Linked DNA regions of Canis lupus familiaris. The protein of the gene in region 2 purifies or fractionates together with the protein of the main gene of each other region. This does not show direct contact. Links are inferred from orthologs where the notes say so. Each region holds a gene or a part of one and is shown on either strand. Other genes may lie near its edges.

The links.
Region 1: the proteins of CCT3 (region 2) and TLE2 purify together in Homo sapiens (affinity purification with mass spectrometry; 3 studies listed by BioGRID and IntAct, with this or other methods). This does not show direct contact. The link is inferred for Canis lupus familiaris from reciprocal best matches to the Homo sapiens genes CCT3 and TLE2.

Annotation. Positions count from the first base shown.
Region 1 is NC_049241.1:56,607,564-56,611,305, forward strand, and holds the start of TLE2 (transducin-like enhancer protein 2), read left to right. Parts: upstream 1-1,402; 5' UTR 1,403-1,491; coding exon 1,492-1,515; intron 1,516-1,594; coding exon 1,595-1,692; intron 1,693-2,131; coding exon 2,132-2,195; intron 2,196-2,596; coding exon 2,597-2,641; intron 2,642-3,742.
Region 2 is NC_049228.1:41,548,678-41,552,419, reverse strand, and holds the start of CCT3 (T-complex protein 1 subunit gamma), read right to left. Parts: upstream 2,735-3,742; 5' UTR 2,604-2,734; coding exon 2,573-2,603; intron 2,525-2,572; exon of another isoform or gene 2,464-2,524; intron 731-2,463; coding exon 669-730; intron 1-668. Other genes in the region: TSACC (TSSK6-activating co-chaperone protein), read left to right, coding at 2,849-2,986, 3,655-3,712. UniProt on the Homo sapiens protein: Component of the chaperonin-containing T-complex (TRiC), a molecular chaperone complex that assists the folding of actin, tubulin and other proteins upon ATP hydrolysis.

The DNA of each region.
Region 1 (3,742 bases), on a different chromosome or scaffold from region 2:
GGGAGCCATTGAACACTAGTACACACACACACACACACACACACACACACATCTCTGTCCTCAGGATCTCTTTCTCCCCTGCGCTCCCATCCTGGGTAGGTCGCATGTCTCTCAGGCACCCCAGATAAGTAGGTTCCCTCTTGTCTCCACCACTGCTCCCCAAAGTCTTTCTCTGTACACACAAATAGTTCCCCAATCGCCAAGCTGTGATTGTGCCTTGTCCGCAGAGCTCGGAGAGGGCCAGAATCGCTTCCCCTTCGGTCACCCTCGTATTCCTGGCACCTGGAAGGATACCTGGCCCCTGATAGATGCTCAATAAATTATCTGTTGGCTGGAAGGCGGTGCTGCTCAGCTCGGGAGGGCTTCGTCTACTTTGGCTCCCCCGCCTCCAACACAGGGGCAGGCATCACCGCGAGGCAGGGGTTTCTCTCTATTTTGTGTCCGCTGCGCCTCGGTGCCTAGAGCTGTGTCTGGTCCGCAGGAGGTGCTCCAGGCATGCTTGTTGACCGACTTAACAAACTTTGAGGTTTTTCCTACCAAGATGGGAGCAAGGAGGTGCGATGTCCCAGGTGAGTGTGGGGGATGCTCCCAGGCTGGCTGCGGTCTGTGCCCCCAGTGGAGCGCCTGCCCCCAGCGACCCCGGTCTGGTGGCAGGGATTCGGCTGCCCTTCTCAGGGCCTGCTCTGCCCTCTAGGAGCTCGCAGTCTGCTGCTGGTGGCAAGGGGAGTCCGAGTCCCAGCTGCGGGAGTTTGCTCGTGCAGGGCCAGGCTGGGGGCTGTTCAGGCCCCATCTCCTTAAAGGACAGCTCCAGGCTCTGCCGTTTTACAGATGCGAATACTGAGGCCGGAGGGGGCGAGCGGGGTCTGCCCTCCTCGGTGCAGGTTGCCGGCCTCCTCCAGAACCTGTCTCAGCCCTCTCCCTCGGGAGGGCCCCTTCACCCCAACCGCCCCCTCCCCAGCACGCTGCCCCCCACAGCACCCCCCCGCCCCCCGCCGAGGTGTGTCTGGCTTCCCTGCACGTCTCTCCTCCGGGGAGGGAGCGGGCGGCGTCGGCGGGGCACTGGGCGCGGGCCTCAGTTTCCCCACGGGGCCCGGCCGGGGGCGGGGCGGGGGCGGGGTCCCGGGGCGCGGGCCCGAGGCGCGGGGGGCGCGGCGGGCGGGCGGGTGGGCGGGCCGGGGGGCGGCGGCGCCACCTTAAGGCGGCTCTGCCCGCGGCTCCCGGCCGAGCCCCGCCGGAGGGAGGCGGCTCCGCGCGGGGCCCGCCGCCCGCGCCTCCGCCGACACCGGGCCGCGGCTCGCGCGACCTTCGCGCCCGCCCCGCGCCCGCGCCCCCGCCCCGCCCCCGCCCCGCGCGCTCGGGGGGGCGCGGGCGCTCCGGGTCCCGGCCCCGCGCCGCCGCGCCCCTCCTGCTGCCTCCGGGCGCCCCCGGCCCCGCCGCCGCCCCCCCGGGATCGTCGGGCTCCGGCGGCGCGGGGGCCTCCGCATCGCCAGGATGTACCCCCAGGGGAGGCACCCGGTGAGTGGGGGCCCGGGCCGCGCGGGGGCGGGGGGCGCGGGCGCCCGGAGCTCAGACCCCGCCGCGCCCCCGCCCGCAGACCCCGCTCCAGTCCGGCCAGCCCTTCAAGTTCTCGATCTTGGAGATCTGCGACCGCATCAAAGAGGAATTCCAGTTTCTTCAGGCTCAGTACCACAGGTGAGGGGGGCGGGGGCGCCGCGCCCCGGGGGAGCCGGGAGCTCACCTGGGAGCTCACCTGGGAGCTCACCTGGGAGCCCCCCGGGGGGGGGGGACGGGCCCGCTGGGGGCCCCCGGGCGCAGCCAGGCGGGGGCGGGGCCTCCAGGGTGCCGGGAGGAGGGAGCCCCCCCTGCAGGGCCGAGGGAGGGCTTCCAGGTGGAAGCGCAGGTGAGGTGGCCGGGGACGCTCAGCACTGGGGCGCTTGGAGCCTGAGAAGGGGCGGGAAGGGACTGGACGGAGGTGGGGCGGCGAGCAGGAAGTGGGGACAGGGGACGGAGCCAAAGCCATCACTTTGGAAACTGGCCCAGACCGGGTATCTCTGCGTCCTGTGCCGGGTGGGGCGCGGTGGGAGTAGAGGCAGGGCGCAGAGTGGGATCCCCATGCTCCTCTCCTTCCCAGCCTCAAGCTGGAGTGTGAGAAGCTGGCCAGTGAGAAGACAGAAATGCAACGACATTATGTCATGGTGAGGGGCTTCGGGTGCCAGGAGCTGCGGGCAGTGGGGAGGGGGCTCCGCTGTGACTGAAAGCGCTGGGGGTTTGACTCCCCGCTCACCCTGCCCCTCCGGGCCTCATTTTCCGTCTTGTAAAGGGGGCTGGTTGGGATTCCTGGCCATCCTACAAATAATGAGGCAAGGATGTCCCCTCTCCTGATGGGCATCTCTGAGGGGCCGGGGTCTCTGGGCACCTCCTCCTGCCACCCTCCCTGCTTGCTCCTCTGGTCTTCCCCTCTGGGCTTGGGGGGAGGCTCTGTGCCCTGCTGTGATTCCCCCAGCCTGGGGGCTCCCCGGAAGCCCCAGCATCACCCAGCTCAAGGCTGGGCACCAACTGGCACAGTAGACATTCCCAACTGGCTCTTCCTTTGCAGTATTATGAGATGTCCTACGGGCTCAACATCGAAATGCATAAACAGGTAACTGTTGGGGCTCGGGGTGTTCAGGAGGAAGGGTGAGGGTCTGGAAGCTGTGAGAGAGACCCAGCGCTCAGGCAGTCCGGGTCTTATCCTGAAATCTCTGGGACCAGGGGGCCAGATTTCAGCCTCACAGAAGGAAAACAGTTCTGAACTTCTGGAGACAGGGTCCAGCAGAGAGGCGAGAAGTGGGCAGGAGCCAGGTGTCCCTGTCAAGGAGGGCTTGTGGCAGAGGCTGCAGCCAGGTCGGGCAGGCAGTGGAGGTGACTTCTGGCCCAGGGAGGTCCCTTTCAGGCCAGAGAGTCTCATGTTTGGAGGATGGATCCTGATGATCTGAGCTGGACCCCAAGCTGCTGTTGATGCTTTAAAGGATGTAAGATTGGCCCTAGTGCCCTGAGGGTCCGAGACTCTCATCAGCTTCTGAGTGTGATGCAAGGTTCTCAGACCAGAAGGGTCTCAAATTGACTCCAGTTGTTCAAGATTAACCCCGAGACGGGGTGCCCAGGTGGCTCAGTCGGTTAAGCATCCGACTCTTGATCTCAGCTCAGGTCTTGATCTCAGAGGCGTGAGTGCAAGCCCCATCTGTGTTGGGTTCCACGCTGGGTACCAAGCCTACTTAAAAAAAGAAAAAAAAATTAACCCCAAGGACCTGACACTGACCTCAAGGTTCTCTGATAGATGAGGGACCCCAAAAGATTGTGAGGTTGATGGGGTCTTAGGTTCTGTCCCTGAGACTATCAGAACAGGGTAGGGGTGGGGGGGGTGGAGCCTAAAACAACACTCCTTCCGGGTGGGTGGGAAGAGGAGGGGGAGTGGGCTAAGAGTGTGGGCTGCCTCAGGGTGCCCGCCCTGGTGTGCTTTTCTGGGTATGCGTGGGCTCTGCTGGCTCTGGTGTGGGCCGCGGCGGGCGGGGGCTGACCTGGCTGGAGTAGGGCGTGGTCCTGGGGGTTCATGAAATAGACCATCTTAGGGGGTGGGAGGGGGCAGGCAGGTGCTAGGGCCCGGCCCCCACCCTCCCAGTGGGAACTCAAGCCCTGCCCAGATGCACGAGGCACACAGCACCCCTCTAACCCCGGCAGAGGCGAAGCATAGCCTGACCCTGCA
Region 2 (3,742 bases):
CCTTCCCCTAAAGTAACTCCACACATGGTGTGAGACAAACACGAACAGGTTATAAAATATACGCTAATAGAATTATGCACAATATGAAAAGACTATTAAGCCTAACTCATTGCGGGAGGGCATCCTACCACCATCAGAGAAATGCCCTCAAAAAAGGCAAGTCAAACTTTTCTTCTGCCTAATTGCAAATGAATACAGAAATACTAGGGAAGGCAGCTGAAAGCAAACTCATCAACGTTAAACTATTTAAAAGATATGCTACTGGGGCACCTGGGTGGCTCAGTTGGTTAAGTGTCTGCTTTCAGCTCCCAGGGTGCTGGGATCAAACCTCACATCGGGTTCCCTGTTTAGCAGGGAGTCTGCTTCTCCCTCTCCCTGTGCTCCTCTCTCCCGCTCCTGCTCTCTCTCTCTCAAATAAATAAATCTAATCTTTATTTAAAAAAAAAAACCATTTTATTTATTCATTCATAGAGACACACACACACACACACACACACACAGAGACAGAGATACAGGCAGAGGGAGAAGCAGGCTCCATGCAGGGAGCCCGACGTGGAACTCGATCCCGGGTCTCCGGGATCACGCCCCAGGCTGGAGGTGGCACTAAATCCGCTGAGCCACCAGGGCTGCCCTAAATCTAATCTTTAAATGAATGAATGATATGCTACCTTGGCGGCATTGATGTTTCCAGATTGAACCTTTCTTCCAGATTCACGCTTTGTGTTCTGGCCTAAAACAGATAAAGTAAAATGTGATAGACCAGGATTCACCCACTGTGTAGCAACTATTTACTCCCTGACCTTTGGAAATAACACACGCACACATGCACACACAGGTTTTACAGATATACAAAGAACAAACCTCAATGAATCCTATGCTCTAGATACATGTAGGTTATTACATATCAAAATACCTTTGAAAACTTAAAAACAACAACAACACTAAAACATGTATTTATGGCTACATTTTTATGTCAACCCCTGGCATACAAACAATCCCTAACGCTTCAACTATGAAACCCTGGTCATCTCTTTCCCACTAACCAAATATTCACGAATTAACAGCAAAGATTCATACTGAGGTCCATAAATGGGCTAGTGGAATGGTAAACTCCTAGAGATTATATGAGAAAATGGGAAGGTACTGCATTCTTGACTGGGAAGAGGATCTATATCCTATTCTCAAAGAGCTGGTAACCTAAAAAAAAGCATCAGTCATTGCTTTCTGTAAAAAAAGGAAGGAGTTTGGGGGTTCTTATTTTCCTATTTGGGCAGGAGGAATTATACTAACCATCCCAGCACAATTACTGATAGCGCCCCCACAGTGTGCTGTGGAATTAGACTGTCCTCTCAGAGTGGCTCAGTTTGCAAGATAATCACTGCATGCTAGGATATAAGTAAGGATGCCTCAGTAACCGCTCTACCATCAGATTTTAACAGGGAGCCTACTCAGTCATAGTCACTAGTGCCAGAAAATAATGAAGACCCAAAAAAGGCTTCACACACAACCACCACTCACCCCTGGGGCCCTCCCAATGGAGACAAGCCAGTGGCTACAACCAAACCGCCGATTTCCCTCCTTCCAAATTACACATTCCCTACAATTTAAATCAGTAAAATTTTCAACCAGTCCCATCAAATCTACACGCTCACAACCCTCAGAATTTAGATTCATGTTTCGAGTAGCAGTAACTAAAATCCTGCACAGACTATTCTGATGGGCTCCTCAGAAAAAACAAAAGACAAAAACAAAAACAAAAACAAAAAACGGGCTTTTTCCCGGTTCAGTAAAAAAAAAAAAAAAAAAAAAAGTTTTTTTCCCGTGAAAACAGTGATTCCCAGGTACAGGGAAAAGGCATAAAACCGCTTTATTGCATTTTGTATACATAAAACGGTAAGGGAGGAACAAGAGTTTGCAGACGAGGTACAGAAGTTACACGAGGAACGGGAATATCCCAGGAGAAGACAATGGAGCGAATCCTCCTTAGAGAGAAATTCAGGAAAACTCAGTAGGTAGGATCACAGCGCGGAGGACACCGCGGGGCCAATTACATCGAAGCCGGACCCCGCGAAAGGAGACCCCGGGAGGGCGTTACTGAGAAATTACCAGGGCATCGCTCGCTGTGCGCGGACGCCCCCCCCCCCCCCCGCCCTCGTCGGCAGCGTCCCTACTTCAGTCACTTAAGCCCCCGATCCGACAAGAAAATACTGTCGAGACCCCCGATAAAAACGGAACGCTCGAGCCAGGCGATGTGGCGGGGTCAAGGGCCGGAGCTGGGAGGCCAGGCCTGACCACATCCCGTTCTCCGCGCCCGCACCGAGAACCACGCGAGCAGGGGTGCAGTGGCGGCGGAGGGAGCCCGGGTGCCCGCAGACCAGCGGCCCGGCCCGGCCCAGGCCCTAAGGGAACCGGCTCGGGGCAGAAAGAGGAGAAGGAAAGGGGATTCCGAAACCAACGACGACGGGAAGGCTGCGCGGCAGGACCAGGGCGGGACCGGGCTGGGGCAACACGCCAAAGCGCGGAGGTAAAGGGCGAAAAGAGGCCCCTCCTGCCCCGCCTTCCCCCAACTCACTGAGCACGAGCACCGGACGATGGCCCATCATGGCGGCGCGATGCAGAACCGGGTACCCAGAGCTGGGGCAACCGGCAGAACCTTCTGGAGAGAGAGAACCAGCGAGAAGCCCAGAAAACGCTGCCTCCTCAGGGCTTACACCTAAACCCGCTACCCTCCGGGTCGCTGCCAATCACTGCAGCCAGCTCATTGAGCGGCAAGAAAACCGGCCAATAGGCTTTCTTAGTCCCGCCCTCTACGCAAGAACGGCAGAGCAAGCTAGATAGAGAGCGCACGATGATGGCGAGGGGAGGGCCCGGGCGCTTGCGCAGTAGGGTGGCCGCTCCCGGCCGCGTGCGGCGCGCAGGTCGGCGCAAGCGCGGAGGCTGGGGCAGTTGGCCGCGACGCCACCGCGCATGTGTATCAACCACAAGGGTGGGACCCGGATCGGAGGCTCTCGAGTAACAGCGCTGGTGAAGTTACTGAGCTGGCCCGCGCCTCGGGTCCTTTGGGGGCGATGGTCTCTGTCCAGTCTTAGCTGCGGGAGGGACCGCGGCGCGGCCACTTCGGGAACTTGGTCCCCGGGGCGGTTGAGTGGCAGAGCCCTTCCCGGGGCGCCCCAGCGCGCCCCTCGCCCTCCTCTCGCAGGTGCTTCCCGCAGACGCTGGGGGCGAGCCCGGGGGTTCCTCGCGCAGCCGGGCCGTCTTTCCACGCCGGTACCCCGCGCCCTCCTGCGCTTTCTCTCGGCCCATGACAGGTGATGGGGAGCCAGGCTGCTGCAGTGACCTCAGAGGACAGGAGAAGGGCTGGTGCTGCAGAAGGGAAACATTGAGGGAAGCCCCGTTACTGGGAGACTCTGAAGGTTTGGGCTTAGTTAAGTGACGACTTGCCCAGAAGAGAGGATATAACAGTCAGGGACACCGCTGTTTTCCAAACCAGCGAAGGGACCATGGGAGCACTTGGCCATGAAGCAGAACAGTGCCTTCTTTCATACATCTTCCTCCCTAAATTGGAGCAGCGTCAGATGTGCTGGGGAGAAGTTAAACTGTCAGCGGTAAAATGGTAGCATGAGTTGATCATGTAACGCTGTGATTCTTCCCTAGGCACCACACCTTCTTGGTGTCCAGATGGAGCAGCATGCTAGCCACCCGAACGAAAAAGGTGTGTGTCTGAGGCCCCTTGCCCCCTGCC